Macaca fascicularis: one gene and its partners. The protein of the gene in region 1 interacts with the protein of each later gene in a pairwise test. Links are inferred from orthologs where the notes say so. Each region holds a gene or a part of one and is shown on either strand. Other genes may lie near its edges. The genes, in order: LONRF1, ADAMTSL4 and TRIM42.

Region 1 (10,804 bases):
CTTTAGGGATCAGCAGAGCAGACTGGACAACAGACAGCACAAAGGTGGGTCGAGGGGAGGGGAAGCAAAAGAGCTTACCAAAGGGAAAGAAAAAACCAAACAGAAGCTTCCATCTTGCATTATAGAGCTCCCTGAAGTCATTCAACTTCAATAATAAAACAATTCCAATTTTCAGAAATATCTTTGGAAAGAGGCAGAACACTATACAAAATCATTTAAAATTTTACTTGAGATTTTCCAAGCCTCTTAGAAATATTCCAACAAATACACAAATGATTCTGAATAAACAAAAAGTTAATATATAAATAACTCAAAATCTAAGATAATTCAGTTTTGGTAAATTCTGCATTTGATGAATGAGAAACAGATTAAAAAACAAATTATTCATTTGAAATGGGACACTTCAATCAGTTTTTTTATCATTTATATCAATAGCCATTATAGTTGATGTTTTTAGTAACCCTGAAGCACTAAAAAAAAAAAAAAAATCCTTAAAGTATATTATGAATCAAAGAAAATAATTAGAGATACAGTCTTGGTTAAGAAGAAGTCAATTAGGCAGTAAACCCCATTTTCTAGGGATTTTCAATTTGCTACAATTATAAAAGAAACAAAAAATACAAACTCTACAAGGACAGGGACTTTATTTTACTCCTTTTTATATTTCTAGCACCTAAAACTATGCCTGGTATATAGTAGCTACTCAATAAAAAACTGTTGGATGGTAAGAATAGGTTTATGTTTTACATGCTAATTTTAAAATAAACTTTGCGTTTAGAATCAATATGCACATATTTGGGTTCTGCTTTCAGTTTTAACTTGGTCACTTACTTGCCTTAAGAAAGTCACCTAAAATTCTTGGGACTTTTCTTAAATCTGTGAATTAGGTGTACTAATACTTGCCCTCCTATCTCACATGAGTTTGTGTATGGATCAATTACAATAACAGAAATGAAAATACTTGTGAACTATAATCACCATACAGACATCAATGTTTACTGTTTCAAGTCCTCTGCACAATAAGGAAGGACATAAATAAGTTACAGGAGCCTCCCTTTATCCGGGGGGGATACGTTCCAAGACCCCCACGGATACCTGAAACTTCAGATAGTACCAAGCCCTATATATACTATGATGCCTATGATAAACTTTAATTTATAAATTAGGTATAGTAAGAAGTTAGTAACAATAACTGATGATAAAATAGAACAATAATAATATGCTGTGATAAACGGTACATGAATGTGGTCTCTCAAAATATTTTATCATACTGTACTATGTGGGTAACTGAAACCACAAATAAAGGGAAACTACTGTATTGTTTAAATTCAAATTTCTTCATTTTAACCTAGTTATGAAATAAAAACCCTCCACATTTTCTTTAAATGTATTCAGTATTTACCTATAATTTGACTGATCTTCTGATAGCTAAAGCTTTTCAGTATCTATAGTTTATTGATGAATGCTAAACTGCTAGTTAACATGTGTAAACTAAAATCGGGATGTAATCTTTACTCTCTACCAAGTGACAGAACAGAACAGGACGTAAAATCTCAAGGTTTAGATTCCAGTTTCAGCAAAATCACCTTCTGGCCAAAACACACTTCTACATTTTAAAAATATTTAATCAATATTTACTGGGCATTACTCTGTGTCAGGCACTATTTAAAGCACTTAGCATGTTTTTACTCATTTGATTCTCACAACACCCTATGAGGTAGAGACTATTCTCATTTTTCAGATAAGGAAACCAAAACACAGAGAGGTTAGGCAACATGCACAAGGTCGGAGAGAGCCGAGGGCTGTGTTGGGAATGGAAGCCAGGTGTCAGCTTCCAGCATGCAGAGCTTTAATCACTAAGCCACATTGCATGTCTATCCATAGGTGCCTCAGTTTCCCTCTGAGGATAATATTATGGTACTCCATAGAATTCTCTGTGAAGATCAAATGATATTAATATGAATAATGTAAAAGTACTGGGTAACAGTCAAGGATCATATTTTTATTTTTATTTTTATTTTTTGAGACTGAGTCTTGCTCTGTTGCCCAGGCTGGTGTGCAGTGGTGTGGTCTCTGCTCACTGCAAGCTCCACCTCCAGGGTTCAAGCAATTCTCCTGCCCCAGCCTCTGCGGTAGCTGGAACTACAGGCACGCACCACCACGCCTGGCTAATTTTTTCTATTTTTGGTAGATACAGGGTTTCACCATGTTGGCCAGGCTAGTCTCGAACTCCTGGCCTCAACTGATGCGTCCACCTCGGTCTCCCAAAGTGCTGGGATTACAGGTGTGAGCCACCATGCCTGGTCAAGGATTACAGAATTAATATTAAAGACAAAATTTTCCTTACCCAAATGTTTTAAAACAAAATGTTCTCCCCCTTATAACCTTTATTTTTCTTTTAACCTGTACAAATTGTAAATTATACTGTTCTGTTGTCTTCTTTTAGGGGAGAGGTGAACACACGAAGGAGACAAGTCAGTGTAAAAAAACGTTAAACACAAAAGGCAGACAGCATGGCTTAGTGGGATCATTTCAATAGGCTCAAGTACAGAGATTCAGTGCAGGAAAAACTTTACATAATATCCTTGAATACTAAAAAGACAGAAAGTTATGAAACATCTGAGAGTTAATACCAAAAGATCAATGGTTTAAATGTTATCTAAATATATTTCAATTCAACAGAAACTTATGTAATCTAAATGGGAAACTTCTGATTTTGGCAAAGGTTTTCAAGCTTTCTTTTGCTGCTGGCAGAGATAAGTTTGGATGTGTGTGGGCTAACTGCAGACTAGATTTTTTCTAGTTAATAGTATTTATTTGTTTCATTATAAGAATTACATGAAAAAAATTATAGTGAAGATCTTTTTTTCATTATCAATAATGACAGGGTCATTAATAACTACAACTGTACAGTTATATAAATACATGTCAAATGCCTAACTTGCCAATTCCAAAGAAGTTAAAGCCTAACGATCATACAAATGGATTATGACTGCACTCGTTAACATTTTGATTTACACCCATAAATTGTGAAACACTTATAAATCGGCCCTTTACCAACTCTAATAGCTCTGAGATTTTTTTCCCATTTTACTTCACATTAATAATTCAAAAGATTAAAAAAACTTATCCTCATTCGTGCCATTCGGACATTTTCAAGTATGGAATTAATGATTCTTGAAAGAACTAAAAATGAGGAAAAAATTAGCTAATGAAGTGAAAGTCAGAAGACGTGGGTTCTATTGCTGCAAGAGTAGAATTAAGTTGCTAAGTGCACAAAATCCCCACGTGCAATCTATGCAGCTTGTAAAAAGCAGAGATTACATCTTTCAGAGCCTTTTCCTGTTAAACATAACATCCTCGATACAAGAACCAAAATCTCTGTTAATTATTATTGGTCACAAAATGTTAAGCTAGACCTCAATTAGCAAATGTGTTCACTGTTCTTCCATGGCCCAGGACCTGGATTCTTGTGAAACACCTAATTTAAGGTCGAATCACTGTATCAGTAGTACTGTCCATAAGTTTCAGCCTCAGTGACCAAAAAAACTTCTTTGGATATGTATAATAAACATTTTCATCAGATAAGCTATAAGGCAGGATGAACCCTAGACCAACGTTTAGGAGAAGTGGAAGATACAGCGCTGCCTCTCAACCAGTTAACACTGTGACTGTGCGCAAGTCTTCACTGCCTGGCATCTGCTTCTTTGCTTTAAAAATCATACCATGGTCAGTTACTAGATGGTCTGTACAGCGGAGTCCAGTTTCTCTTCTCTTTATTCACCCAGAGGGACAGAGTCATCCGTATCAGAATTCTGTATTCCAAACACTTTTCTTTTGTTCTGAGCCTATCTTTCTATTTTATAACTGCCTACTCCTCATAAAGGCACTGAAAGAATACAAAAATCTCCGGTGTTTGTGCTTCGAACTCTGAAGATATTAAACAATGCAAGATCTTGACGTAAGTTCAATATGACTAAGCACTTGGGACAAAAGATGACCCGAAAGATGATCCTTTCAGTTACACAGTCTATAAATTTACCTGTAATACCTAAAGTCAGCTGCTATTCTAGATGTCTATTTTCTTGGGGATTATTCCCCCAACTATCCCCCAACTATCATGCCATTCCCCCAGCTATCATGCCAATGGATAGACACTAAAATCTTGAAATACGCGTAACACAAGGTTTATCAACAGTGGCACTTGGGGCCTGATAATTCTTTGTTGTGGGAATCCTGCTGTGCCTCATAGGATGTCTGAGCAGCACCCCGGGCCTCTCCCACTAGATGTCGGTACCAGCACCACCCCCACAAGAGGTGGCAACCAAAAATGTCTCCAGATATTGCTCTAGATAATGTCCCCTGAGAGAGGGGAGGTAAATCCGGCTGGTAAAGAACTACTGATTTAAAGAACAACTCTTCCTTTTACATAAGAGAAGCTTGACACTGCCCCCTTTCAGCGCCTAAAACCACCTTAAGAAGAAAGTGCTAGCTAACCTAGGTTAGGAGGCCGAGGCTGCTTCCTGGAGACTAAGAAATGCACTCAAGACCTACAAGGCCTTTCCCCACAGCTTGATCCTAAGTGGAACGGCCAAGAGAAGCGTGGCAAAGAACTCTGGATCAGGAAGCCCCTCTCATCTTTACCATAAGCTAGGTGCACTGCAAAGTACATAGGAAATAAGCATGATCTGAAACAGGCCGGCTGAAACTTTCGAGAGAAACCAGTTCAGGCATTTCCAGGTAGCAAGGGACCACCCGGGGCAGCTCCGCCCCGCGCCCCAAGCCCGGCGGCCTGCGGGGCCTCCCGGGGCCGGGTGCCCGCCCGGAGCTCCCGCCACGCCCACCGGACGTCACCCGTTACACAACGACCCCCGCCCCCAGCTTATGCAATTCTGCCCTCCCGCGGCTCCCAATTGTCCCGGTGACTTTTGTGGGTGAGGAAGGGAGACGCCGCCTTCCCGGCCTAGTTGTCCTCGTGGGGGATTCTCTCCCCACCCCGGCAGTCGTTTCCCCGCGGCGGGCCTGGCGCGAGAGAGTCAATTCCCGGAAAGCGCGCGGCAGGAAGCGAGCGGCCGCTCGGGATAGCCCAGCTCCCACCCATCCCGCGCCGGGGCACCCACGGCTCCGGTCACCCACTCCGCGCCCGGAGCGCGCGCCCGACGGCCAGGCCGCGGCCGAGGGAACCCCGCGCCGAGCGCCCCTCCCCGCGCTGCGTCACAGTCGGCTCCCAGGGCGATCCCCATTGTGACCGAAGCACCCCGGGGCGCCGCCCCCTCCCACACCCCCCAGCACCCCGAGACCCAACACGCCAGTGGCCCAGCGGCCCCGGGGAAGCAGAGGAGACTCCCGGGACGCAGACAAGCTCCGGGTCCCCGGCCCTCGGGGCCAGGAGGGTGCGGTCGGCCCGGCCCCGCCGCATCCCCGCGCGGTCACCTGCTCGCAGCGCCTCGCAGGCGGCGGCCAGGGCCTCCCGGTAGCGCCCCTGGTGTAGCAGCTCCCCGAGTCTGCCAGCCGCCCGGGCCCGCTCGCGCTGGCCCGGGAACCACTTCTCGGCCAGGTGGTTGAGGACGACGCTGGTTCTGAAGTCTGAGGCGGCGATGGCGGCTGCCAGAGGCGGCGGCCGCGGGGCGGTCCCTTCAGCATCAGTGGCACTGGCGGTGGCGGGCGGCAGCCGGTCCCGGCAGAGGCGGCAGCGGGCGCGGAGTTCCCTCCGCAGGCAGCGGCGGCAGTAGCTGTGGCCACAGGGCACGGTCACCGGCTCGCTCAGGAAGCCCCGGCAGCCCAGGCATCTGAGGAGCCCGCAGGCGCCGCCGTCCGCGCCCGCAGCCGGGGCCGCGCTCCAGCTCAGCCCGTGGCGGAGCCGGTAGTTGAACACCAGGCAGTCCACCAGGGCGCCCAGGCACTCGGGCCTGGCCGGGGCCCCGCGGCGCAGCGCCGCCGCGAACGCCTCCAGCGCGCCCTTCAGGTGGCCGCCCAGCGCCAGCAGCTCCCCGCGGCGGAGCAGCAGTTCCCAGCGCTCCGACTCCGCGGCCGCGCGCTCCAGCCGAAGGCCGCTGCCGCCGCCCACTTCCCAGAACCGGCCTCGGCCCTGCGGCGCCGGGGCCATCTCCCGACTCCCTCCCGGGGAACTCCTCGCCACCGCCGGAGAGGACATGGCCCGCGGAGGGCTGCGCTGCCGCCGCCCGCCGCCACGGTCCGGGAGCCTCCCGGGCGCGCGGCTCCGCACGCGGCCCGCGAGCAGGGGGGCGTGGCGCGCGGACACGGCGGGGCGGCGCGCGCCCGGGAAGCCCCGAGGGCGGGGCCTGGCGAGGGCGGGGCCGGGCTCGGCGACGGCGCCGGGACTCCCCCACGCAGCCCGCGGCCGCGCTCGCGAGGAGCCAAGCGCTGGGCCCCGCCCCTCCCGAGCCCCCTCCCGGCGGGGGCGCAGGTCGGATGATTCCTCCGTCGGAGATCTAATTGGCTTCTCCGGAAAGGAGGGCTCGGCTCGTGACGGAACAAAGCCCGATGGAGCCCAGAGTCTCCGTCCCCGCTTGCCTGCTCGCCGACGCCCCCACCTGCGGTGGCCCGCGCCCTTGCCGCGCGGGACTCAGGGTCACCACCCCTCCCCCGACGCCCCCGCCCAAGCCGGACCTGCCCCAACTCCTGGCGGGCGGGGGTCTCCCGGCGTGTCCTCACGCTTGTGCGGGTCTGCATTTTCATTCCTCTATGCCCAGGTTCCAGGTGGGCGCTCCCAAGCAGGGGGCCTGGGAGGGCACCTTCGGCAGATGTCTGGGACTCTTCGGTTCTAGAGGACTCAACTTTAAACAGGAACACAAAACCCACGTTCCTGGGGCGACTCCCTCCAGAGGGCAAGGAGTTTTTCCTGGTGCCAGGTGACTGCTGCCCTTTGCTTAAAACTCATCGTAGGCCCACCTCGAGGGAGAAAGCCCACACAGTTCCTCAGGTGTCTCCACACCTCAGGCACTGCCTTACAGCTGGTTAAAGTCTATAGTTGGCATATTTAAAAGAAAACACCGAGAAAAATGTTTTTCACGTGGCGGTCACCGTATTACTACAACCCAAGCAGGGTCTGCAGTTTTGCCAACAGAAGAAAATGATGGGGTTGATATATAATAGGTGCTATTTCCCTTAAACTTCACAGCGGCAAGTTTAAAGCTCTCCGCTGAAAATATTTATAGATTTGATTATAGGGTATTAGATTGTTAATGTTAGGAGTCACTTAGAACTTTTAGTCCTTTTTCAAATGATGGGAAACAGAGGGAAAGTTATTTGTCAAAAATCACACAGCTAATATAGATTTTAAGATCACGTCTATTCCACTATTATGTTACTACGTTAGACTGATCGTATATAATATTTAATAAAATAATAGTAATATTTCATAGAAATAGATTGTCAAAGGAAGTTGCTAATTGGAAAGTTCACGTGAGCATAGTATGTCTGAAAATGGTATACGTTTAATATTTCTCTTTATAAGGAACGGCAATTAAGGCTAAAAAATGTTTTGAGTTAATGTGTTTTCACTACACAATGAGCAAGTCGTGTAACGTCAGAAAAGATAGAGATATATTACCCTAAAGGGAATGAATAAAAAAGAGGTGCTTGAGAAAAAGCCAAGCCTCCTGTTCCAACAGGATGCAGACAGAAACAAGTTCATTTATCATTCACATTGCACCTGAAGCAAATTGCAGCTAGATCCAAGGAGCACCTCCTCAGCATTTGGCGTGGGAAGCACTGGGATTAAGTCATGAGATAACCTTAAATCCAATCCTAACCCCCGAAATTACTACCTTCCCTCAACAAGCAGAACAGTGACTTTCATCTGATGTCCACATACTCCCTTGAGACTTGAAATCACAAATAATATAACAAATATCCATGTGTACACGCACATTCATTTTTTGTAATGCATTCTTGTTCTTAATGGCAACTTGCAAAATATACAATAGTAAATAATGTGTTCATGTTTATTACAAGGAGCATAATAAATTAATAAACACTCATAAACTTCTTTTCAAATATAAAGTCGGGTTCTATTACGGGATTTCTGCCAAAAGTACAATATGTGGTTCAGAAAAGTAATGTGAAGTATTATTTGTCCTTTGGCGTTCCTTTCCCTAATAAATATGACAGATAACCACATCTGATTCTGATGTGAAATAAAATGGCACAATTATGATAATGTGCAGGAGAAAAAAATGGGACCGTAGGAGGAATCTTACCGTGTTCTCCTTGGCATTTGTGAATGGTTATAATTCATGTTTGCTGGTTTATACATTTACATAACTTGTTCTCATTTATGTAACTTATTTATGTAAGAGGCTGTACTGCCGCTGTGGCCTTTGTGTGCTGCATAACTTCCCTCTGAATCAGGAAGTCTAGGCAAAGCAGTCACTGGCACTGTCACAGGTCACCCTTCCATCATTCTCTGCCACCCAAAGTTGCACGATAATGTGACTGCTTGTTTAAATTCAAAAGTGAGAAAAATTAGTGTCCTTCTACTTTCATTTCCTAAAATTTAGACAGGTCTCTGAGTCACCCAGCAGGCTGTGATGGAGAAGAGGGAATCCTGCTAAACTGCCCCTGGCTGGGAGAAGTACAATGGAGTGAAGAGCTCTCCTTTTCCTTCGCATTACTTGCTTGTGTCATTCTTTGCTAACAAAGTAGTAAAATCATGAGATTTGTATTCTGTTTCGGTTTTTGAGTGTTGTCTTCTAAAATAGATCAGTTATGTAAGAGAGTAAGAAGAAAAGCGTATCTGTTTCCTAATTTGGAAAATGCTTATCACCATCATTGCCTGCTTATCCCTGCCTCCTACTGCCACACCATAAGACTTTTCCTGATATAGTTTGGTAAACTCCTATTTAAGAGTAACATAACACAGCACTTTTCTTGTATACAACTCAGCTGAAGATGTGTATTTGAACCTCTTTTTTTTTCTTTTTTTTTCTTTTTTGCTGTGGGTGAATTTACCATTTGTTTCTTTACATTCTTATTAAAAAAGAAACTGAATTTGTCAGTCCAAGCAAAATACGTCCCATTCCTGATTCATTTCAGTTGATAATGTTCTATTCAAAGAGAGTAAACTATAACATTTCATATAAACAGTACCTACCCAATAGCTTTTTCTTTTTGACACAATCTAGCTTTGTCACCCAGGCTACAGTGCATAGTGAGTATATAGCTCACTGCAGCCTTGACCTCCTGGCTCAAGTGATCTCCCACCTCAGCCTCTCCGAGAAGCTGGGACTATAGACGCATGCCTCTCTGTCCAGCAAATTGCTTTTTTTTTTTTTTTTAAACTCGTTGTAGAAGCGGGCCCCGTTATGTTGCCAGGCTGGTCTCAAACTCCTGGCCTCAAGCAATTTCCCTGCCTCAACCTCCCAGTGTGCTGGGATTAGAGGCATAAACCACCATGCCTGGTCCCCAATAGCATTTTTCAACACAATACACAGATGGAGGGGGCTCTAGAGACCACCTTGTCATACCTCTCATTATATATATATGAGAAAATTGAGATCTGAGAAGCTGCTAGTTTCATAGAAGTCATACCAGCGAGGGAATCTGGACACCTGGTGCTGACTGTATTTATGCCTCTATGCCAGGGAAGAAGTCACCTGGGTTCCCTGGGCCTCATTTGCTATCTGTAGAAAGAGGGAACTGGAACTACCCCTAAGGTGCCTTCTGCCTCTGGAGCCAAGCCCCAGGGCTTGGTTTGAACACAATAAGAGGAGACAGAGCATCTCCCAGACTGAGGAACACAGCAATGTGATACCTGCTGAAAATGTAACAGCAGGTGAGGGCTGAGAATAGAAGAGAAGGGTATCAAGAAACACATTTTGTTGGTGCGTACCCATCCCTGTTTAGAGAGGGGGAACCAGTCTCTGAGACCTGAACACCTGCAGTCACTGTACAGGGATCCCCTATTGCACTCACACCTCCTTGCCCCTACTGTAAAACTGTGGGAAGCTGAAAGAAAGCCGGGGGTGGGGGGGCCGAGGGGGAGCTGATTATATAACTTGGGCATTTGTGGGAAACTTTATATAAGATGCTAAAAATACAATATATTATTGCTATAATAGCGTTCCAAGTGAAAAGCCCTAATGAGGACAACCCGAGTAGGTTAAATACAGCTTATATGAAGTGTAAGTCTAAAGCCAATTGCCTGCAATGACTACCATCTAACCAAGTACCGTTTACTGCGCATTCTTTGTTATCCCTACAGGGTACACAAAGTGCGCAAGGGCCACTACCCTTACAAAGGGTGCTATGCTTCATTCTTCATTTCTAATACTCTGAAGAATCTAGAAATACTAAGTGTGTGACCCGTGGCCTATTTTGCTGGTAGTCAAATTGATTAAATGAATAAATACATTTCCCTATATCGAGCTGTTTAAAAAGTAGACATAGGAATAAACCCCATATATTATTTAACAAATTCTAAGAATTTACTACATATGGATCCCCCTGGTACTTTCCATCCTCCTTCCTTCCAGGCCTATACATGCCCCCCGCCCCCCCCGCCCGCACCATGCTCCTGCCTTCAGTACTTATCATCTGGCATATTACATACACATTACTCGTCTCCACCCTCCAGAATGTAAGCTCCCTGAGATTTGGGATTTCTGTACATCTTGTTCACTGACATGTCTCTAGCACCTAGGCACCAAGAAGACACTAGAAAATCATTGTTAAATGAGCCCACCCACAAAGATATCATGTACTATTCTTCATTCTTGTTAGTGATAAAAACCTGGTGGGGTGCGATGGCTCATGTCTATAATCCCAGCACTTTAAGAGGCCA
Region 2 (10,717 bases), on another chromosome or scaffold:
AATTCCTAGGCTTAAGCAATCCACCCACCTCAGCCTCCCAAAGTGCTGGGATTAGAGGCGTGAGACACCCCACCCAGCCTAAAAACTTTTTATCCTGGAGACAGTGTCCACAAACTTAATCTGATATTTCACAAGTTGCTGAGGCATAGGAAACTCTTTTCTTTATACAATATTTTCAGACCACCAAGCCATGAGAGGTGACAGCAATAGGAAATCTCATGAGCTATTTGGTCAGCAGCCATTTCTTAGTGGAAAGAACTATTTCTGACCTTCAATTCTCAGCAGTTACAAATGTCAAAGGCAGAACTTTCCTCTCCTCCCACACTCCTGTGCTGCAGCTTCCCTCCCTGTAGATAAGTGAATGCCGATGGGGTGTGACTGGGCCAGGACTGAAGGGTCCCTGGCCTAAAATATCTTACTCTGCCTGGAAGGCTGGGCTTCACATAATCTGTATCATACTCTGAGGTCTGGGCAAAGGGGCTTCCCCTTCAAAGCTAGCACTATAAATATGCCTCGAGGTTGTCACCAGGAGTCCCTAGATAAACCAGCCCTCTGGGAGGGGCATTAAGCTTTTATCTTCTTAACCCATGTAGGAACTCAGGACCTGGATGGAGGATGAGGAGAGGCACCTCCTGGAGGCACAGGACGATCCGACCTGCGCCATGTTTCGTGGTGTACTTCGTGTTTTCAAGTTGTTGTTTTCAGTGACTTATCAAAAAAACAAAACTCTAATATAAAATAGGAAAAAGTATAGATGATATAAAGTAGCACAAATAATCCTTTATCCTGGAAGAACTTAGGGATTTACCAAGAAAAAATATGCATGTTAAATTTCAAATAATGATACAATTCTTTTTCTCCTTCCTTTCTTTTTTCTTCTTTTTTTTTTAGAGATGGGGTCTTGCTATGTTGCCCAGGCTGGATTTGAACTCTTGGCTTCAAGTGATCCTCCCACTTCAGCCTCCCGAATCACTGGGACTACAGGTGCCTGCAATTGTACCCAGCTCGGGACACCATTCTTACATTTTATTTACTTTATTTTATTTTATTTTATTTTTTTGAATCAGAGTCTCACTCTGTCACCTAAGCCGGAGTGCAGTGGCATCATCTCAGCTCAATGCAAACTCCACCTGCTGGGTTCAAGCAATTCTCCCTTTCTCAGCCTCCCCAGTAGCTGGGATTACAGGCGCCCACCACCACACCCAGCTAATTTTTGTATTTTTAGTAGAGATGGGGTTTCACCATGTTGGCCAGATTGGTCTTGAACTCTGACCTCAGGTGATCTGCCCACCTTGGCCTCCCAAAATGCTGGGATTGCAGGCATGAGCCACCGCACTCGGCCCAATTCTTACATTTTGAAAGCATTTTATGTTTTCATATCCATCATCTTCTTAGAGATAACATCTCCTTCAGCTGAGCCCAGTATTAACCTTCCCATGACCCCATTACCTGCAGTGTCTGTGCCTGATCAGACCAACTCCTTGAGGCTAGAGACTGTCCTCTTGCTGCTTCCTCAACATAAAGTGCAAAAGGTGCCCAAGAAATGACAGGTAGGGGAACCAAAGACCTCCGATATTTTGTGAGGATGCACGACAATGTTGTTAGAGCTTCTATTTTTGTGTTTTAGTTTTTCAAGGGAAATTTTAAAATATCCAGGTTTTAAAATAGGTATTGACAAGTTATTAAAAAAAAAAAATACACCTTTAGGTTGGGCCCAGTGGCTCATGCGTGTAATCCTGGCACTTTAGGAGCCCAAGGAAGGAGGATTTCTTGAGCCCAGGAGTTTGAAACTAGCCTGTCTTAAAAACAAAAAACAAACAAACAAAAACCTTTAAAACACTGAGTAGACCCAACAAAACACAACGCGTCAGTAAATAGAAAGTAAAAATATAGGCCGGGCGCAGTGGCTCACATATGTAATCCCAGCACTTTGGGAGACTGAGGCGGGAGGATCATGAGGTCAGGAGTTCAAGACCGGCCTGGCCAACACGGTAAAACCCCATCTCTACTAAAGATACAAAAAATTAGCCAGGTGTGGTGGCTCGCGCCTGTGATCCCAGCTAGGCAGGAGGCTGAGGCAGGAGAATCGCTTGAACCCAGGAGGCAGAGGTTGCAGTGAGCAGAGATGGCACCACTGCACTCCAGCCTGGGTGACAGGACAAGACTCCATCTCAAAAAAAAAAAAAAACAGTAAAAATATAAAAATAGCAGTGACCATTTATTGTCTACTCTATGCCAGTCATTTTACGTATTTTATTTATGTATTTATTTTTTGAGAAAGGTCTCTCTCTGTCGCAGGGGCTGGAGTGCAGTGGCACAGTCATAGTTCATAGTTCACTGCAGCCTCAAACTCCTGGGCTCAAGCGATCCTCCCCCATCAGTCTCCTGAGTAGCTAGGACTATAGGTTTTCACCACCACGCCCAGCTGACATACATTATTTATTTTTAAGAAATAATAGCTGGGCGTGGTGGCTCACGCTTGTAATCCCAGCACTTTGGGAGGCCAAGGCGGGAGGATCACTTGAGGTTGGGAGTTTGACACTAGCCTGACCAACATGGAGAAACCCCGTCTCTACTAAAAAATATAAAATATATAAAATGAGCCAGGCGTGGTGGTGCACACCTCTAATACCAGCTACTCGGGAGGCCGAGGCAGGAGAATCACTTGAACCTGGGAGGGAGAGGTTGCAGTGAGCCGAGATCATGCCATTGCACTCCAGCCTGGGCAACAAGTGTGAAATTCCGTCTCAAAAAAAAAAAGATAAAACTAATAGATGGATTACTCTTGTGGTTAAAAAATTCACAAAAATAACATAACACGGCTAGGCGCGGTGGCTCACGCCTGTAATCCCAGCACTTGGATCACCTGAGGTCAGGAGTTCAAGGTCAGCCTGGCCAAGATGGTGAAACCCTGTTTCTACTAAAAATACAAAAAAAAAAAAAAAAGGCCGGGCGCGGTGGCTCAAGCCTGTAATCCCAGCACTTTGGGAGGCCGAGACGGGCGGATCACGAGGTCAGCAGATCGAGACCATCCTGGCTAACACGGTGAAAACCCGTCTCTACTAAAAAATACAAAAAACTAGCCGGGCGCGGTGGCGGGCGCCTGTAGTCCCAACTACTCGGGAGGCTGAGGCAGGAGAATGGCGTGAACCCGGGAGGCGGAGCTTGCAGTGAGCTGAGATCCGGCCACTGCACTCCAGCCTGGGCGGCAGAGCGAGACTCCGTCTCAAAAAAAAAAAAAAAAAAAATTCGCCGGGCGTCTGTAATCCCAGCTACTCAGGAGGCTGAGGCAGGAGAATCGCTTGAACCCGGGAGGTGGAGGTTGCAGTGAGCCGAGATCGTGCCATTGCCCTCCAGCCTGGGCGACAAGAATGAGACTCCGTCTCAATAATAATAATATTAATAACAAGAGGCCGGGCACGGTGGCTCACGCCTGTAATCCCAACACTTTGGGAGGCTGAGACGGGCGGATCACGAGGTCAGGAGATCGAGACCATCCTGGCTAACACGGTGAAACGTCTCTACTAAAAATACAAAATACTATAAATATATTTTGTATATAAAATTTGTATAAAATTTTTGTAAAAATATTTGTATAAAAAATAGTATAAATATATACTATAAATATATTTTATAAAAATATAAAAATACAAAAATACAAAATACTAAAAATACAAAAAATTAGCCGGGCGTGGTGGTGGGCGCCTGTAGACCCGGCTACGGGGGAGGCTGGGGCAGGAGAATGGCGTGAACCCGGGAGGCGGAGCTTGCAGTGAGTCAAGATCGTGCCACTGCACTCCAGCCTGGGCGAAAGAGAGAGACTCCGTCTCGAATAATAATAATAAACATAACACAGAGTAAAAAGCAAAAGCCTTTTTCAGTTCTCCTCCAACCCTGAACCCCTCCCCAGATGTCACCAATACTACTGAGTTTGGGGTGCATTCTTCCATATATAAATAAAGAGACATATCCAAGTCCATCCCATATATTAGATTAGTCCCATTTTGCAGATGAGCAAACTGCACCACACAGAGGTGGAAGTATTTGTGGAAGACCACACAGCCGGCAAGTGCTGGAGCTGAGATTCAAAACCAGGTCACTCTGACTCAGAAGTCAGCACGTTGTCCTTCCGCTGAGTCCCGAGTGTAAAACCTTACTGAGGGAAAAACCGAAGCTCATAGAAGTCCCAGCAATCAGAACCACAGGGTTCACTGCCCAACACGGGAGAGCTAGGAGTGACTGAGCTTGCAGGTGAGGCTGCGTGGAGGAGAGAGCCTGGACCCACGCGGATCCGGGGCCGCGGGCACCTCCGTCCAGGGCGCCGCCCTCCCGGACCAGCGGCTCTCCCAGGCCGCCTAGCTCCAGGCGCCCCTGGAGGCCGCCCGCGCCGCGCCGCTCTCGCACCGCTCACCCGAGCCACTCGGAGGCCCGGGCTGCTTAAGTCCCTAATCCCAGCCGGACACGAGGACAGCGCCCGGGAGCGACCGCAGCCTCCGACCCCGGCTGGGCCCGCCCGGGCTTCTGCTCACGCAGCCGACCGGGGGCGCCCGGCGCGCAGCCCGGGGTGGGTGGTCCTGGCGAGCGGGACTGCGAGGCCGACCGTCCCCACCCCGGGACCGCCAAGGGGCGCGGGCTGGGGCGCGTGGCGGGCGGGGCGGGGGCGGGCGCGAGGGCGGAGTCGCGGCCGAGGCGGCGGTGTCCGGAGAGCGGCTCAGGGGCCGCAGTGGCCGCCGCGGAGCGAGGCTGCCTGTAGAGAGCGTCCGGGTGCAGAAGGGTTAACGGGCCACCGGGGCGCGCAGAGCAGGTAGAGACCTCCCCGAGACCCCGGCCCCGGCCGCCCCTCTCCCGGGTCCCGTTAGACCACCAGCCCCGCGCGCCCGCGTCGTCCCCTCTCCCTGCGCTGTGCGGTCGGTCGCGCCCCCGCCACGACCCCGGCCCCAGCTCCGGTGGCCTCGGACGATCTTCCAGCCCCTGGGGTCGAATTCCTGGGGAGGGGGTCTGATCCCGTGGAACTCTGGCCCCATCACCCGGGCGAGGAGTGAGCCAAAATTCCTCCTAAGTCACACAGCGAAGTTGGAAAACAGACCCACGACCTCCCCGCGCGGGCAGCGCCTCCTGCCCTCTCCCTAGGAGGGTGCTCTCGGACGGTGTGCCTCCCGCCCCCCTACTGCAACTCCTGGAGTTGGAGGACAGGGTCGCCGCGAGGGACGCAGGTGGGTGCCCTTGATCCAGTTCAGTCCGATGACAGAAGAGGTTGACAAAAAAGAAAGACACCTGTTGGGGTGGCCTGCCAGACCCAGGAGTGGAGGGCTCCATGAGGGCCAGGGAATTCGGACTCAGGACAGGGATTCTCTGTGGCTATTCCAGAAACATAGGGTCGAGCCACACTCTCCAGCAGGGAGACCTGGGGGTGAAGGGGTGAGCCCTGCTCAGGTCTCTGTTCCTTGGTTTTCACTGGGCAGTGTGGAGAGGTGTGGTCCGGAGGAGCCCACATTTGTCCAGACCAGGGTCTATTCTGGCACCAACCTCTGACCTCTCCTTTCCCCGTCCTGGGCCGTGAACGACACCAAATGAGGCACATGGAAAGGGGTGAGAAGCACAAATGTGCGTGTGTTTCTGCAGAGGAGGGGGCATGGGCCCCTGCCGGGCTGCGCAGGGGAGGGTGGGGTGGGACTTTTCCAGAGAGGGAGCCAGGCCTGGCCCGGGCCCCAGGAGCTCACGTCACCCCCACCCCTCACTTCTCCAGGGAACTGCCAAGGCCAAACCCAGCTCGGGACGGGATTATGTGTACTGGGTAGACCCGTGGAGAGGGGCGGTGAGATCTGGGTGGCAGAGAGAAACAGAGGCAGAGAGGGCATGGAGAGGGGTCGGCATCAGAGAAGGGGCCGGCAGTGACCATCACCCCCTTTCTTCTTCCCTCAGCTAGAGTAACAGAGTCAGGCAGAGCCTGAACACTTGGGTGGAACATGGGCCCTTCTCTGGAGACCCTGGCCTCCCCCGTTCAGTCAGGGCGGAGTTGCTGACCTCAGTGGCCGGCCCAGCCAGGGGAAGGAGTGGCCATCGGCAACCCCCTCCCCAACCCTAAACCGTGAGGCACGCCCGCTCTGGCTCAGCCACTCTGACCCCTCCCTCAAATTATGAGCCCTAGGTCTCAGGGAGGGCAGTGGGGCGCAGTGTCTGCCCCCAGGCACATTCCTTCCCTTCTCTTGGTCATTTTCTGCCCCAGAGCTGGCCCACCTCAGCAATTTGAGGGCTCCCTGGATTCCTTTCCCGGGTGCCTTTCAGATCCAACAGAAACATTTTTTTTTTTCCTGGAAAGCAGACCCAAGAGTGGGATGAGGAGCAGGGGTGGGAAGGCCTCTAAGTGAGAAGGGGGCAAGGAGAGTCAGGCTTTGTGGCTCGGGAGGGTTCCAAGCCTCACTTCTCCAGTGTTCAAAGCTGAACTTCAGATGGACTTCCTGCCTCTTGAGAATGAGAGGCCTGTGGCTGGGGCAAGAGGCAGCCCTGGCTGCACCTCTCCTTCCCGCTTCCCCAGCTGGTAGAGCCGCACAGGAAACAAGCCCTCACTGAACCAGTGCTGGATGCTGGCACCCAGAGTGGGTGTTACATTGCGGGCTTCTTCTCTAGAGATTAAACCGTCAACCCATTTAGCTTATCCCTTGGCCAAAAGTGTCTGAGATGTGCCTGGATGTTCCCGCACATCTCTTCCACAGAAGGGAAGAGAAAGCCAGGAGGCAAGTAGGACAGAGAGATGTCTGGGGAAGGTCTCGTTTCTGGAAGACCCGAGGAAGGGGCTTCTGGTGGATCCTCAGAGAGAGTGTCTGGCACATCCTCAGTGGAGCCTTCCTCCTCTACTTTCTAGGCACCTCTGGGAGGGCAGGAGTGGGAGCAGATGACAACCATTTTAGAAGGAGCCCTCTGGCTGGGTGCGGTGGCTCACACTTGTCATCCCAGCACTTTGGGAGGCCAAGGCAGGAGAAGCGCTTGAGGCCAGGAGTTTGAGACCAGCCTGTGCAATTTAGCTGGATCCCGTCTCTACCAAAAAATACAAAAATTAGCTGGGTGTGGTGGTGCACGCATGTAGTCCCACCTACTCAGGAGGCTGAGGAGGAAGGAGAGCCTGTGAGTTTGAGGCTACAATGAGCTTTGGTGGCACCATTGCACTCCAGCCTGGATGACAGAGTGAGATCTCCATCTCAAAAAAAAAAAAAAAAAAAAAAGCCGTTTGTGTGTGCCTGAGCCGGCCTAGAAACAGTCTCTAGGTAGGATTTGGGGAGGAGCTAAGAAGCCCCTACAGGGCCCAGGGGTGGGGACTGAGCCTTAGTTGGAAGGCTGAGGTCAGCCCCCGACCATGTAGCCTCTACAGATGGACAAGGCAGTGATCCTCCCTGCTCCCACCCTGAGGATCCTAAAGGGGTGGGCCAGTCTCACCACCTCCTCCACTCTGATCTGTCCTCCCAGCCCCAAGCTCTCTGGACACTGGAGAGGTAACCACCAGGCTTCTGTCCCTGCAGAGAGCACCCTCCACACCCAGATGCCTACCCAGATGCCTGCCCAGATGGCTGTGTAGTTTTTGTGACCAGTCCGCTCCTCCCTTGCCCTGGGGCAGTAGAGGGGGGAGTGATGGAGAACTGGGCAGGCAGGTGAGAGAAGGGGCCATGGTGGGGAGGGAAGGGGGGGTTGCTGGGACGGCTGCATGTCTGGAAGTGAGGGAAAGAGGACCACTGGGAGGGGCAGGGGAAGTGATGAGTAACTTCTGCTTTCTGAGAAGTTGGTAGTCAGGATATGGGGAGCCGGCTGGGGGCGGAGGGTGGTGTTGCAACACCCCCTCTGGCTCCAGTCTGACGTCCCTCCCATGGCCTTTGGTTTGCAGGCCCTGGCTGTATCTGCTGCTGCTGCTGCTTCTGTCCCTCCCTCAGCTCTGCCTGGATCAGGAGGTGAGCTTTGGACAAGTGAGCAGCTGCAGCCTGCCTGCCACCCTTTCATCTCCCCCTGGGCTCCCACCCCATCTCTCCAGGCCACGCCTCCTTTCCCCACAGCCCATCCACCTCCCCTGCCAACTCCACAGTTACTTGCCTCACAACACCAAGAGGCCGAGGTGTAGTTCTCCCTCTGCTGCTGAATGTGACCCTGGACTGGCAGCGACTCTGTGAGCCCCAGCGGTGGTCTAGATGGACGCTCTGGACAGTTCCCTCTAATCCTTCCAATTCTGTCTGACCTTTTTCTCTATATAGGTGTTGTCCGGACACTCTCTTCAGACACCTACAGAGGAGGGCCAGGGCCTCGAAGGTGTCTGGGGACCTTGGGTCCAGTGGGCCTCTTGCTCCCAGCCCTGCGGGGTGGGGGTGCAGCGCAGGAGCCGGACATGTCAGCTCCCTACAGTGCAGCTCCGCCCGAGTCTGCCCCTCCCTCCCCGGCCCCCAAGACATCCAGAAGCCCTCCTCCCCCGGGGCCAGGGTCCCAGACCCCAGACTTCTCCAGAAACCCTCCCCTTGTACAGGACACAGTCTCGGGGAAGGGGTGGCCCACTTCGAGGTCCTGCTTCCCACCTAGGGAGAGAGGAGACCCAGGAGATTCAAGCGGCCAGGAGGTGAGAGGCCTGGGTGGAAGAGGTGGGCCTTGGGCAAGGTGGGGGCTTAGCAAGAAGGAAAGGGGAGCACGGGTGACTTCAGAGGGCTTGTCTTTGGTGCCAGGAAGTAAACTGGGGAAACAGGGTCAGAGGTGGTCAGAGCTGTGCCCCCACATCTGAAACACCTTCTCAGGTCCCGGCTTCGAGACCCCATCAAGCCAGGAATGTTCGGTTATGGGAGAGTGCCCTTTGCATTGCCACTGCACCGGAACCGCAGGCACCCTCGGAGGCCACCCAGATCTGAGCTGTCCCTGATTTCTTCTAGAGGGGAAGAGCCCATTCCATCCCCTACTCCAAGAGCAGAGCCATTCTCCACAAACGGCAGCCCCAAGACTGAGCTCCCTCCCACAGAACTGTCTGTCCACACCCCATCCCCCCAAGCAGAACCTCTAAGCCCTGAAACTGCTCAGACAGAGGTGGCTCCCAGAACCAGGCCTGCCCCTCCACAGCACCACCCCAGAGCCCAGGCCGCTGACACAGAGGCCCCCTCACCCACGCGCTCCTTAGGAGAAGGTGGCTTCTTCCGTGCATCCCCTCAGCCACGAAGGCCAAGTTCCCAGGGTTGGGCCAGTCCCCAGGTAGCAGGGAGACGCCCTGATCCTTTCCCTTCAGTCCCTCGGGGCCGAGGCCAGCAGGGCCAGGGGCCCTGGGGAATGGGGGGGACTCCTCACGGGCACCGCCTGGAGCCTGACCCTCAGCACCCGGACGGCTGGCTGCCCCTGCTGAGCAACGGCCCCCATGCCAGCTCCCTCTGGAGCCTCTTTGCTCCCAGTAGCCCTATTCCAAGATGTTCTGGGGAGAGTGAGCAGCTAAGAGCCTGCAGCCAAGCGGTGAGTCTCCTCGGGTCTCCCCTCCCAACCCCAACCTCCAGTGTGGCCTCCCCGCCCTGAAGCTGGGCCCTCAGCTTCTTCTCGGCCCCTGAGGGAGAAGGGCCTTGGCATCTGACCACCTCAGGGCAGGGGTCTTGGAGCTCTTCCGCTGACCTGATCCTCCCGCCTGCTCCCCAGGTTCAGCCCTGACCTTACCCTCATTTTGCTCCCCAGCTCTGACTCCTTTGTACCCCTCACCGCAGCCCTGCCCCCCCGAGCAGCCAGACCCCCGGGCCCTGCAGTGCGCGGCCTTTAACTCCCAGGAATTCATGGGCCAGCTGTACCAGTGGGAGCCCTTCACCGAAGGTGAGGTTTCTTGCCCACCCCTGGGCAGTGATGACTTGGAATTGGGGATGAAGGGGAGAGGAGACACCTGCTTACTCCCAGCCCTGAATGACTTCCAGCCCCTCTGCTTCCCCTGCGCCGTGCCTTCTTTCTTCTCCCTGGGGCTGGGTCAGGAGACAGCACAGGTGGCGGCGAGTGGTCTGCAGAGGGGTCGGGGTGGGAGGAGGAGGTGCGGGAGACACGCTTTGTCCGGACTCCTCTGGGAAGGCCATCACTGGGGGTCGGGTGGCTGTGACACAAGAGGGCCACAGTGGGAGAGATCCTGTCCAGCCGTGACAGCTGGGTGGGGGTGTGCCACGTATCCTGGGCACTACCGTATCGGTTGCTCCCAAGTTACCATCCGCTTCATTTTAGGCCTGTGTTGACACCAAGACAAGCACTCAAGAGCTCTGAACACACAGAATCATGGGCGTCAGGGATTGCTCCTCTCTCGGTTCAGAGTCCCCTTGATGGTCTCAGTGACCTCGACTGACCTGACCACCTTCCTTTTTTTTTTTTTTTTTCTGAGACAGAGTCTCGCTCTGTCACCCAGGCTGGAGTGCAGATCTCGGCTCACTGCAACCTCTGCCTCCTGGGTTCAAGCAATTCTCCTGCCTCAGCCTCCCAAGTAGCTGGGACTACAGGCATGTGCCACCACGCCCGGTTAATTTTTGTATTTGTAGTAGAGATGGGGTTTCACCATATTGGCCAGGCTGGTCTTGAACTCCTGACCTAATGATCTACCGGCCTCGGCCTCCTAAAGTGCTGGGATTATAGGCATGAGCCACTGTGCCGGCCCTGACCACCTTCTCAGCTTGTGCTGTTGTCACATTTCCTTCATCCACAGTGACCTGGGCAACCTCAAGGTGCCCCCCCGGGGCCTCTCTCAGCTAAC
Region 3 (10,156 bases), on another chromosome or scaffold:
AGAACGGAGAGAGATATTGATAAAACTGAGTTTTGGCAAACATGTGGGGAAAAGGTGTTTCACTTTTTTGAATGTCTTATATTCCTTGCTGGTATTAACTGGCACATTTGAGTAAGAAACTGAGCGTTTTGCATTAAAAAAAAGACAGATAAAGCACATACCCTATGATCCAGGATTTTCACTTGTAGAAATCTAGTATCGATGTGTGGCTGGCATAGTTGGCACTCAGTGATTTTCTCTCCTATTATAAAGGTGATAACTATAGGGAGAGATAATAAATTATGCAGTAAATTCCTGCAGCCAAACTCAGCTCTCACTTCTGCTTTTTATAAAAATAAGACAGTATTCATACTCTAATGTACCATGACCATGAAATTTCTGTTCTTTTAATCTTTGCAAGTTGCATAAATGGGAAAGCGAAATTCTTCCCTAAAATATAGGGTCTTTTTTCTAGGGATACTGAGCGTATACTAGCAGAACAGTTAAAGATTTCACGTAGAGTTCCAGCCTCTTTTTGGAGTGGGAGTAGGATGGGAAAAGACAGAAAGCCTGAACCTCACCCAAACACCATGAAGCTACAAAAAAGCAAAGAAATATTCAGAGTGACTTATGTATAAAGCTTCATGAAAATGAGCAGTGACTATGCATTGATAAAAATCAATTACTACTGAAAGAAGTTCCTAAGTGAACCTGTATATATTTTTTCTTTAACTCTCTCTCTGAATGGTGATATCTCTTTAAACATGGCATTGGTAATATTTGTAAACACTGTCCTTCGTTCAAATAGAATTCTATCAATTCCGCTAACGTGGAAAAACATGTGAATCTACTTTTCTAATTAACCATACCCAAGTCTTTCAGTCTACGAAGACATAATCTGAAGTCCACTTGCCCAAATCGCAGGCAGAACACCAAACAAGGAGAAATAACTTCAGAAATCTACTCCATTATCCAAAAGGTGACAAATGACAACTAAACTTCCAGGATGCTCATTGCATCACCACTCCTCTACAGCTGGTTCCATAGAAGCATGGAGTGTTCACCAACATACCTGCTACCACCCACAAGGCCGCATCCTCCTACCCACCCAGCATGGTAGAGACACAGGGATTGTGACATAAGCAAATACCCTCAGACTGATATATGTAAATGCCAGCCTACGAGCTTCCTGGTAGGGACACCAGCTGTGAAGGCCTCATAACAGCCAACTTCTTGCAACTCTCAAGCTGACGGCCTTACGCAGGGGAGGAAGGACTCCTCCACTGGAGAACTGATAGCAGTATTCTGGTAGAGGAGGCATCAAGAGCCCTAGGAGGCCAGCGGTAATCATGTAGGCGCCATGGAAACTGCTATGTGCGTTTGCTGTCCATGTTGTACATGGCAGAGATGCTGTCCTCAGTTATGCTCCTGTCTGTGCTGCAAGTTCATCTTCACCTCAGAGCGGAACTGCACCTGCTTCCCCTGCCCTTACAAAGATGAGCGGAACTGCCAGTTCTGCCACTGCACCTGTTCTGAGAGCCCCAACTGCCATTGGTGTTGCTGCTCTTGGGCCAATGATCCCAACTGTAAGTGCTGCTGCACAGCCAGCAGCAATGTTAGGTGCTACTACTATGAGAGTCGCTGCTGCCGCAATACCATCGTCACTTTCCACAAGGGCCGCCTCAGGAGCGTCCATATCTCGTAAGTGTCAGACACTGGATGTGGGGCCACATTGGCTCATGAAAACTAGGGACCACTTGCCAGCTGTGAAGTCCACAGGGCAGGCCAGTGCGCCTCTGAGTTCATTTCTTTATCTAAGAAGGAGCTAAGAATTTTGTAGCAATTAACTGTATCCTAAATGGTCACTATGTATGTAGACCATGAGTTCCAAATCTAAGCACCATTAACTATGAAAATGAGCACTTCACTCCTCTGAACCCCAACTCTCTCATCTGTACAAAATAGTAATAGCTAATAGTTAGTGCTTAAGCAACTTGCCAGGAACTTCATGCATGACCCCAGCTAACCCCTCACCCTAAGTCCACTGTTTCCATGAGGAAACTGAGCCTTTGAGAAGTAAAGTTGTCCCAGGATCACACAGCTGGAAAGATGCAGTCAGGATTGGAACCTAAAATTTGGGATCTTAACTTTAAAATGCTATATTGCAAAATGGAGACAATACCCCCTTCCCATGATATTATAGATATAAGGATTAATGTACATGCTTTGTAATCTGTATGTGATATAAAAATATAAACTGCTCTTTCTCTTCCTATGAACTCTTAATACCTGCAACATTTAATGGAAAAGTAAGAATTTCTACAGGGCACTTTTGACCCTGAGGATCATATAAATACCCCATACATCCATGAACTCCTACTACCTTGTTTTTCCCATCCAGAAGTCATAGTACTCAGGGTCTCAATTACGCATTTGGAGTACTAACCCTCCATATTAGGTCCTACATTATCCTCACCTGCTCTACCAAACCAGTCTTTTTACGTCACAGATGAGGGGAGTCTGAAGTAGTAAGAGCACACTTCTTAGAAGGGGAAAGATGACATCACCATAAGATGACAGGATTAGAAGAGGCAGAAAAATAGAAGGCAGTTAGAAGGCTTTCAAGCCTGGAAAAGCAATTCTGTAAGCAAAGGTTTGGTGAATTCAGGGGAAAGATATTATCCATCTTGCAATTAAACATTAAGTAGATGCTTAACAAACATAACTCTCCACCCATGACCCTCTCATAGTGTTTGCATAAATAGGAAATCCAGGGATTCTCGATGCAAGTCTAGAAATCCTAAAGCATGGAAAATAGTGTCCACACTCCTCTCTTAACTACCTCATTTTCTGTGCAGCAGCAGCTGAACCTCTGAGCCCATTTCAACAGGAAAGGGATAAAATTGGTGCTTTAGGAAAATGCCTTAGGCTCAGTAGCTCCCCAACGTTATTGTGCATTGAAGTCACCTGGGGATCTTTTAAAATTACTGATGCCTGATCCCCACCCCCAAAACATTGATTTTATTGGTCTGGGGTACCACCTGAGCATCTGAATTAATTAGACTCAACCCCCGCCTTCAGGTGATTCTAATGTGTAGAACGGCCTGCAGGGGGCTAGGAGGGAAGCCAGGAGATTTGACAGGTGATCCAGCAAGAATCCAGGTGCAAGAACAGGCCTGATTTTGGGAGAGAGGGGGCTGTGCAGAGGAGCAGAGACAGGATATCTCAGCAAGAAGATAAAAGCGCTGGGCTTGATGACTGTTTTGAAATGGAACCATGGCCACTGAATGCCCCATCCGAGCCTAAGGCTTTTGGAGGATGGGCAGGGATGCTACCACAAGTGTTAGGAGGTCAGCTGTGGGTGCTTTTCTTCAATCTAGCCTCTCTCCTGGCTTCTGACCCTCTGCCTCCCCTGTTTCTCATCACCACTTTCTGTTCAGCACCTTGCTTGTCCTGCCTCACTCTGGTCTCATGCATCCCTCTCCATCTTAGTCTTTTTCCCACTTCCTTTTTCACCTCTAACACAGCTACCTAGGCCATTAATACCTGTCTGTTAGCCCTGAGACCTCTTTCTCGTCCTCCAACACCTCCCTCCCCCATTCTTCTTTCTTTTTTGTGAAAATGCTAGCTCATGAGCTTCCTAGTAGAGATACCTGCTGTGAAGGCCTCATAACAGTCTCTCTTTATATTATACCTCCAGTCCTTACTTTTTTAGCAAACTAAAGTCCATCTGGGCACTACATGGACAATTGACCTGTACCTCCAGGTGATCCCTTAAGGACCCATGCAGGAATCTGGGAAAGCAGAGAGGAAACAGAGCTGAGAACATCGAGGCCAGCATGCCTGGAGTTCCCAGATCCCTAAGGCACAAATTTTCCAGGTGCCTTAATCCACACAGGAAGCATTCTCTGTCACCACAGGGCCACTCCATTCCAATATACTTGGGAAGCACCTGTGACTATCTGGACTCAGACATAGGGAGTGGGGAAGACAGGGACACATAAGGAATGCAAGAAGACAAAAGTAGAAAGAAACACAGCCACAATGTCAAGATTAGTATCCAAATACTATTATGCAAACAGAGGAGAGAGCAATAGCGGCAAATTGTGTGCCTATTTACACCTCCATTCCCACAGCTAATTCATTTATTTTTATACACTGCATTTGCTGATTGTAAGTTCTTAGAACAGGCACTTGAATTTTACAAGTATGCTTTTACTCCATAGTTCTTACGATTAAATGTATGAAATCAGCCTCAGGCATTAGACAAATGGAGAGCTTTAACACACACAAATGAAACAGTAGAAGCACATACTTTTCACAGACTTGGCCACTATTTTCCTTTACTGTGATTTCTCTCTACTGCAGACATTAGCTGGCTAGTAGCAAAGGGATGTAATTACAGTGGCCACATTTACTGAATGCTTACTATGTACCAGCAGTTAAGCACTTACATGGATTATCTCATTTAGACTTTATAAAAACCTCACAAAGCAAGTAGTATGGTGAGGTTTGATTTATAGTTAAGAAAACTGAACATGAGAGAGGTTTAAAAAAACATCTCAGAAGGTACAACTGTAAAGTGGTGCATTTTTATCACACACGCTCTGCCTCTAAAGCCCAGATCCATTACCATTACCTATTGGTCTGGTTGGCAGACCACACAGGTTCTAGGCTTGGCTCAGGTACAGACTTGCTCTGTGTTCCATCTATGTACAATAAATAATGTCAATGTCCTCCAGGGGAAAAAAAAAAGCCCTAAGAACACACCTGTAGTTGGACAAGATTGTATTTATTGACTCATTGCAACAAGTGAGAATATAAAGCATGGGAAAGTGTAAAGTACCTTGAAAAGTTATTACAGGATTTGAGCTCATGTTAGGTGAGGACACGGGAGTAAATCTATTGAATATTTTAATAAATCTTATCTAGAAGGTGGGAAGAACAGAGTGACCCAAAAGCTGCTGGAAAAAAAAGAAAAAAGAAAAAAAAAAAAAAAAAACAGTTTTTTGGTTTAAAAAAATCAACCAGGATAGGGGGATGTTGGGTCATTTTCGTGATTTAGACAACGTTCGTGTCTGAGTCCAAACATTATAAAGTGGCCTTGTTTCTGCTTTGATCCAAAGTCACAGAGTAGCCTTGTCTGATACTGTGTTCTTTGATATTACCGATGTCCAACGGAACACCAAGGCCTAGCTGACGCCTGACCAGTCTCTGCGGCTTTTCCCTTGCTTAATAACAGCAAGCAGTTGCAGCACACTGACTGTGTACCATGGACTGCTCTTAGTCCGTACAAGCATTAAACTCAATTTTAATCTTCTCAAGAAACTCTGACATGGGTACTAATTTTATAACAAGGAAATAGGCCGAGAGGTTAACTGGCTTACCTGAGGTCACCCCGCTGAAAAATGGTGGAGACAGGTTGAGAACGCAGGCACCTTGGCACTCAGCTGAGGCTCCTCACCACCACCCTAGACTGCCCCTCAGAAACCAAGAGTTCTTTCAGAGGTAGAGAGGCAGAGCAAGCTCTTGAGCCTGCCTCCTGAAACCCTGCCTTTGCTTCTCCTTTCAGCTCCAAGACTGCCCTGCGCATTGGGAGCAGCGATACCCAGCTGGATGAAGTGAAATCAGTACCAGCCAAAAGCCACCTGGTGAACCACCTCAATTGCCCCATGTGCAGCCGGCTGCGCCTGCACTCATTCATGCTGCCCTGCAACCACAGCCTGTGTGAGAAGTGCCTGCGGCAGCTGCAGAAGCACGCCGAGGTCACCGAGAATTTCTTCATCCTCATCTGCCCAGTGTGCGACCGCTCGCACTGCATGCCCTACAGCCACAAGATGCAGCTGCCGGAGAACTACCTGCGCGGGCGCCTCACCAAGCGCTACATGCAGCAGCACGGCTACCTCAAGTGGCGCTTTGACCGTTCCTCCGGGCCCATCCTCTGCCAGGTCTGCCGCAATAGGCGCATAGCGTACAAGCGCTGCATCACCTGCCGCCTCAACCTGTGCAACGACTGCCTCAAGGCCTTCCACTCGGATGTGGCCATGCAAGACCACGTCTTTGTGGACACCAGCGCCGAGGAACAGGACGAGAAGATCTGCATCCACCATCCATCCAGCCGCATCATCGAGTACTGCCGCAATGACAACGAATTGCTCTGCACCTTCTGCAAGTTCTCTTTCCACAATGGCCACGACACCATCAGCCTCATCGACGCCTGCTCCGAGAGGGCCGCCTCACTCTTCAGCGCCATCGCCAAGTTCAAAGCAGGTCCTCCCCTTCTCCACTCCTTCAGCCTAACTTCTAGTTCAGGAACACATGGGGAAGATGGCGTGGGGCAATGTGCTAAGTGAGTGCCTTAACAGATTCCACCTAGTGGAGCAATCAAGGCACCAGGAAACACTGTGCTATCCTGCAAGTCACTATCCTGGTGTCCGCTCCTGGTAACCACTACCAGTCACTTAACTTCTCCGTGCCTTGCTTTTCTCACCTATGAAATAGGGGAATAGTAGTGACCCCCTCACTGGATTGCCATGAGGATTAAGTGAGTTACTCTATGTAAAGAATGCAAAAAGTCATATGACAAGTGCATAAAGATTCTATAATCTTGATTATAATCTGCATGTCCTCAGGTCTCATTTTCTCTTTTGGAAAATGAAGACTTTGATCCTATAGTATACTGACGTTCTGTGACGTTCTAAGGTGTTCTGTCACTGTTGGATCGCTTTGGTTTTCCTAAATGTGCAGGGGGAAAGAATTAAGTCAGTGCTGAGAATTATCTCAATGTTAAATTTCCCTCCATGAATTTTTTCCAAAACTTGCAGATGCCAAAGTAAATAAACGGGCAGCAAACATATAACAACAGGGACAATTCATAACTAGCCAATGGTATTCTAGTCAACAGCTTGTTTTTCCTCTGCATTCTTGTTCGTGGTGATTTGGTTGTTTTATATTGTTACATATAATATTGCTTTAAGTGAAATAATATTTCAGTGATGGTTTCAGTGATGGAACCAAGCATAATAATATTTCACAGGATTCAGCAAAGAGCCCATAATTTCTTGTTTCAGTGACAAAACCAAGTATAATCATATTTCACAGGATTCAACAAAGAGCCGCATAATTTCTGGGTATGTCTCTACCTGGTCAGACATTAGAATCCAAAAGATTCCTTTAGTGCCCTTTACCCTCAGGAATAGTTCCTTGTATAAAGGCCAACTTTACTCAGGCCTGTGGAGCACATTTTGTCTAATCTCAATAGTGCTACAGTACAGGCATTAAAATGTCCTCCATGGATAAGCCAACTGTGGTTCAAAAAAATAATTAGGACAGGCAGCTAATAAGTGGCAGATGCAGTCTATTTGACTCCAGTGTCCACCATTAATTCCACAACATTTATTTGACAATCTACTCTGTGCTAAGCAGCGACCAGAATCTGAAGATGAAGAGATTGAAGGGGAGGAAGGGGGAACCACCACCACCATCCATGGTCTGTTTCATTAAGGAGTGGCCTGCAGTCAGTTACCAAAGTGCACCAGATCAACCCAGGCCTTTCCCATTGTCAGATCTGTTAGTCTCCAACATTCAGATAGGCCTATACATTGGGAGGGAGGCAGCTTTTCCTTGAGCTGCACAGAAAGGTCCCACTGGATATAAAGGTGGGTCCAAAACAGGCTTTGCTAATGACCACATCACCCCTGACTTCTCAGCAGCTTCAGGAATACCTCGAGTTTTCTCAATTGCCACATACCTGGAAACATTGCTTGTCAATTGACATTTATTTAATTCTGGAACCACCACCAGGGAATACTTCATATTAAAGGAACCCTGCAGGAGCCACATATTATCAAGAAAATGGTAGAACTGTTGGTTCCAAAAGGGTTTTCTGAAGGTGGGACTCACTGCTTCCCTAGGCCAGGGCTTGTCTGAATTCTTTGGCCAAGCATGGCAAGGGTGCTGCTCTCTACAGCCTACTGTGCCTTCCATCCCTCTGTAGGGAACCTTGTCCTTAATACATGTGAAACTTACGATAGTTTTCTGAGTCCAGGGCACCTAAAAGTCAGACAACAAAGCTCAATTCTAGGTGGGGGGAAAATGCCTGTCCAAATTCCAAGGAACCCAGCAGTTGGAAAGGGAAAAAGGGATAATAGGTAAATTAGATATTAGCTATAAGTAAATAATTTAACCTTTCATCCTTGACGAAGAAAGAAACAGACACACAACATTTTTTTAACCAGGGTTCAAACTTGTTCGTGAGCACTTGATTCACTTTTCTGGGAGGTACCATAAATTGGCATTCTAAACAGATCTCCGTGTTATTCAAAAGCAAGTGATCTGGGAATACACATTGAGAAACTTGGGGACCTAGAGAGAAGATCCATTTTAGAAGCTTTACTAAAAACTGATGCCCCTGTCCCATCCACACAGAGGTGCAGGCTCAGCAAGACGGACTTTTAAAAAACTCCTCATGTGATTCTATGGTGCAGGCAAGGTTGAGAACCACTGGAATAAAGGGAGCTCAAAAGTTTAGGTCCCTGCCACTCAAAGTGTGGTTCGAGGACCAGTAGCATCGGCATCACCTGAGAGCTTGTTAGCAATGCAGAATCTCAGGACCCACCCCAGGCCTAGTGCACCAGAATCTGCATCTTTAACATGATCCCAGGAGATTCCCTGGGTTAGATTCTACACCTCACTGCACACTGCCTTGCCTGGCTTCCTGAGCCCCAATACAGGCCCATTGATTCAGAATCTTAGTAGATGAGTCCAAGGGAAGAGGTTTTTTTTAACACTCTTTCAGGTTAATCTGGTGCTCACAGAGGGCTGAGAGCCACAGCTGAAGCGATTAAGAACCTAGTTTGGAGCTAGACAAATAGAATTAGGGACAGAGCCTAGTTTCTCCCATTTACCTGATGTGTAACACTGTGTAGTCACTTCACTTCCCTGGGCCTCAAGCTTTTTCATCTGTAAGTGGAAACAATATCTTCCTTATAAGAAGATATATGTGATATATAATAACATATGGATCTGGTCCATAAAAAGTGTTTAATAAATAGCAACTAATTTTAAGTGTATTACCTAAAAAGAGAGCTTGATTTGACTTCGTTTAAAATCAGCTCTTGCAGAGCTTTCATATTTGTAGAAGTTTGGGATGGGACATTTCTGGCTTCCTCTGTCTTTTTTCTCCTCCTGGAGATGCCTTTTTCCCCTCATCTAAGAAATTTTTATCCTGCTTCTCAGGACTTTGCCCTACATAAGCCTAATTAATCCCTCATACAGGAAGAAATTTCCTATCCAAGTATCTTTAACAGTAGGTAACTATTGAATAGTCAAAGAAAATAATGCACAAAGTAGAATTCTGGCTGCCATAGTCACAGTGCATTGGGGAGGGCAAGAAGCACTTCTCAGCACTGAAATCGCACACTAGTAGTTTCCCTTTCAGTCTCACCTGCATCACCTCATCTTTTCTGAGCCACTGTGAGAAAGGAGATGGCAAGAAAACAGTGGGGCTTCAGGGAGTTAGCCAGAGAGTGACACTGCTGGCATTCACCAATGAGATGTTAGAAGACAGGAAAGAATGGCTTTTACTCAACAAATACATTTGCTCACCTCTACACACCATAGTCATAGTGGTAATGTGGTCCCTGTTCGCATGATCTGACAGAACTCTAGGGTTTCCCATACTCAAGTGCACACCCTTGTTATAATGACCACCACTCACAGAAGTCCAGCTTCCTATGAACCAGGATAGTGTTATGAACCAAGTCCAAAAATAGCTAGTCATCCCTACTTCTGAGTAAAATTTGGTGAGGATTATTGCCCATCAATTCACTGAAGAGTTTACCTTCATGAGAAGAATCTTATCTGTAGAAGATTGACATTCTTCTAACGGCCACAGAAGGTTGATACTCTTCAAATTGCTCCTTAATGCCTCAAATCCTCTAAAGCTAACAAAGGTATTCATTTCACCTTTCACATAAAGCCCATTTCACAGATAGAGATGTGCCACATGCTCACCCTGCTATAGCATCCTTCAATTATAGTATCTTTGGATTTATTCATAACTTGAGCACAGATGCCCTCTCATAATCACATCCATATCCTTAGTGCCTAAAAGATACATGGCATGTAACAGGACTCCAGTAAATGTTTGTTGAATGACTGAGTGAACTTAAAATCC

What was found.
Region 2: the proteins of LONRF1 (region 1) and ADAMTSL4 interact in binary tests that used the Homo sapiens proteins (3 or more experiments, as listed by UniProt). The two-hybrid records come from large-scale screens. The link is inferred for Macaca fascicularis from reciprocal best matches to the Homo sapiens genes LONRF1 and ADAMTSL4.
Region 3: the proteins of LONRF1 (region 1) and TRIM42 interact in binary tests that used the Homo sapiens proteins (3 or more experiments, as listed by UniProt). The two-hybrid records come from large-scale screens. The link is inferred for Macaca fascicularis from reciprocal best matches to the Homo sapiens genes LONRF1 and TRIM42.

Annotation. Positions count from the first base shown.
Region 1 is NC_088382.1:12,682,548-12,693,351, forward strand, and holds the start of LONRF1 (LON peptidase N-terminal domain and RING finger protein 1), read right to left. Parts: upstream 6,198-10,804; 5' UTR 6,155-6,197; coding exon 5,434-6,154; intron 1-5,433.
Region 2 is NC_088375.1:110,698,264-110,708,980, reverse strand, and holds the start of ADAMTSL4 (ADAMTS-like protein 4), read left to right. Parts: upstream 1-4,713; 5' UTR 4,714-4,804; intron 4,805-5,060; exon of another isoform or gene 5,061-5,213; intron 5,214-5,462; exon of another isoform or gene 5,463-5,602; coding exon of another isoform or gene 5,603-5,817; intron 5,818-5,818; coding exon of another isoform or gene 5,819-5,928; intron 5,929-5,930; coding exon of another isoform or gene 5,931-6,094; intron 6,095-6,096; coding exon of another isoform or gene 6,097-6,295; intron 6,296-6,297; coding exon of another isoform or gene 6,298-6,368; exon of another isoform or gene 6,369-6,503; intron 6,504-7,461; exon of another isoform or gene 7,462-7,514; 5' UTR 7,515-7,623; coding exon 7,624-7,643; intron 7,644-7,873; coding exon 7,874-7,937; intron 7,938-8,234; coding exon 8,235-8,590; intron 8,591-8,762; coding exon 8,763-9,459; intron 9,460-9,672; exon of another isoform or gene 9,673-9,701; coding exon 9,702-9,804; intron 9,805-10,717. UniProt on the Homo sapiens protein: Positive regulation of apoptosis. May facilitate FBN1 microfibril biogenesis.
Region 3 is NC_088376.1:43,533,658-43,543,813, forward strand, and holds the start of TRIM42 (tripartite motif-containing protein 42), read left to right. Parts: upstream 1-1,173; 5' UTR 1,174-1,339; coding exon 1,340-1,680; intron 1,681-5,551; coding exon 5,552-6,249; intron 6,250-10,156.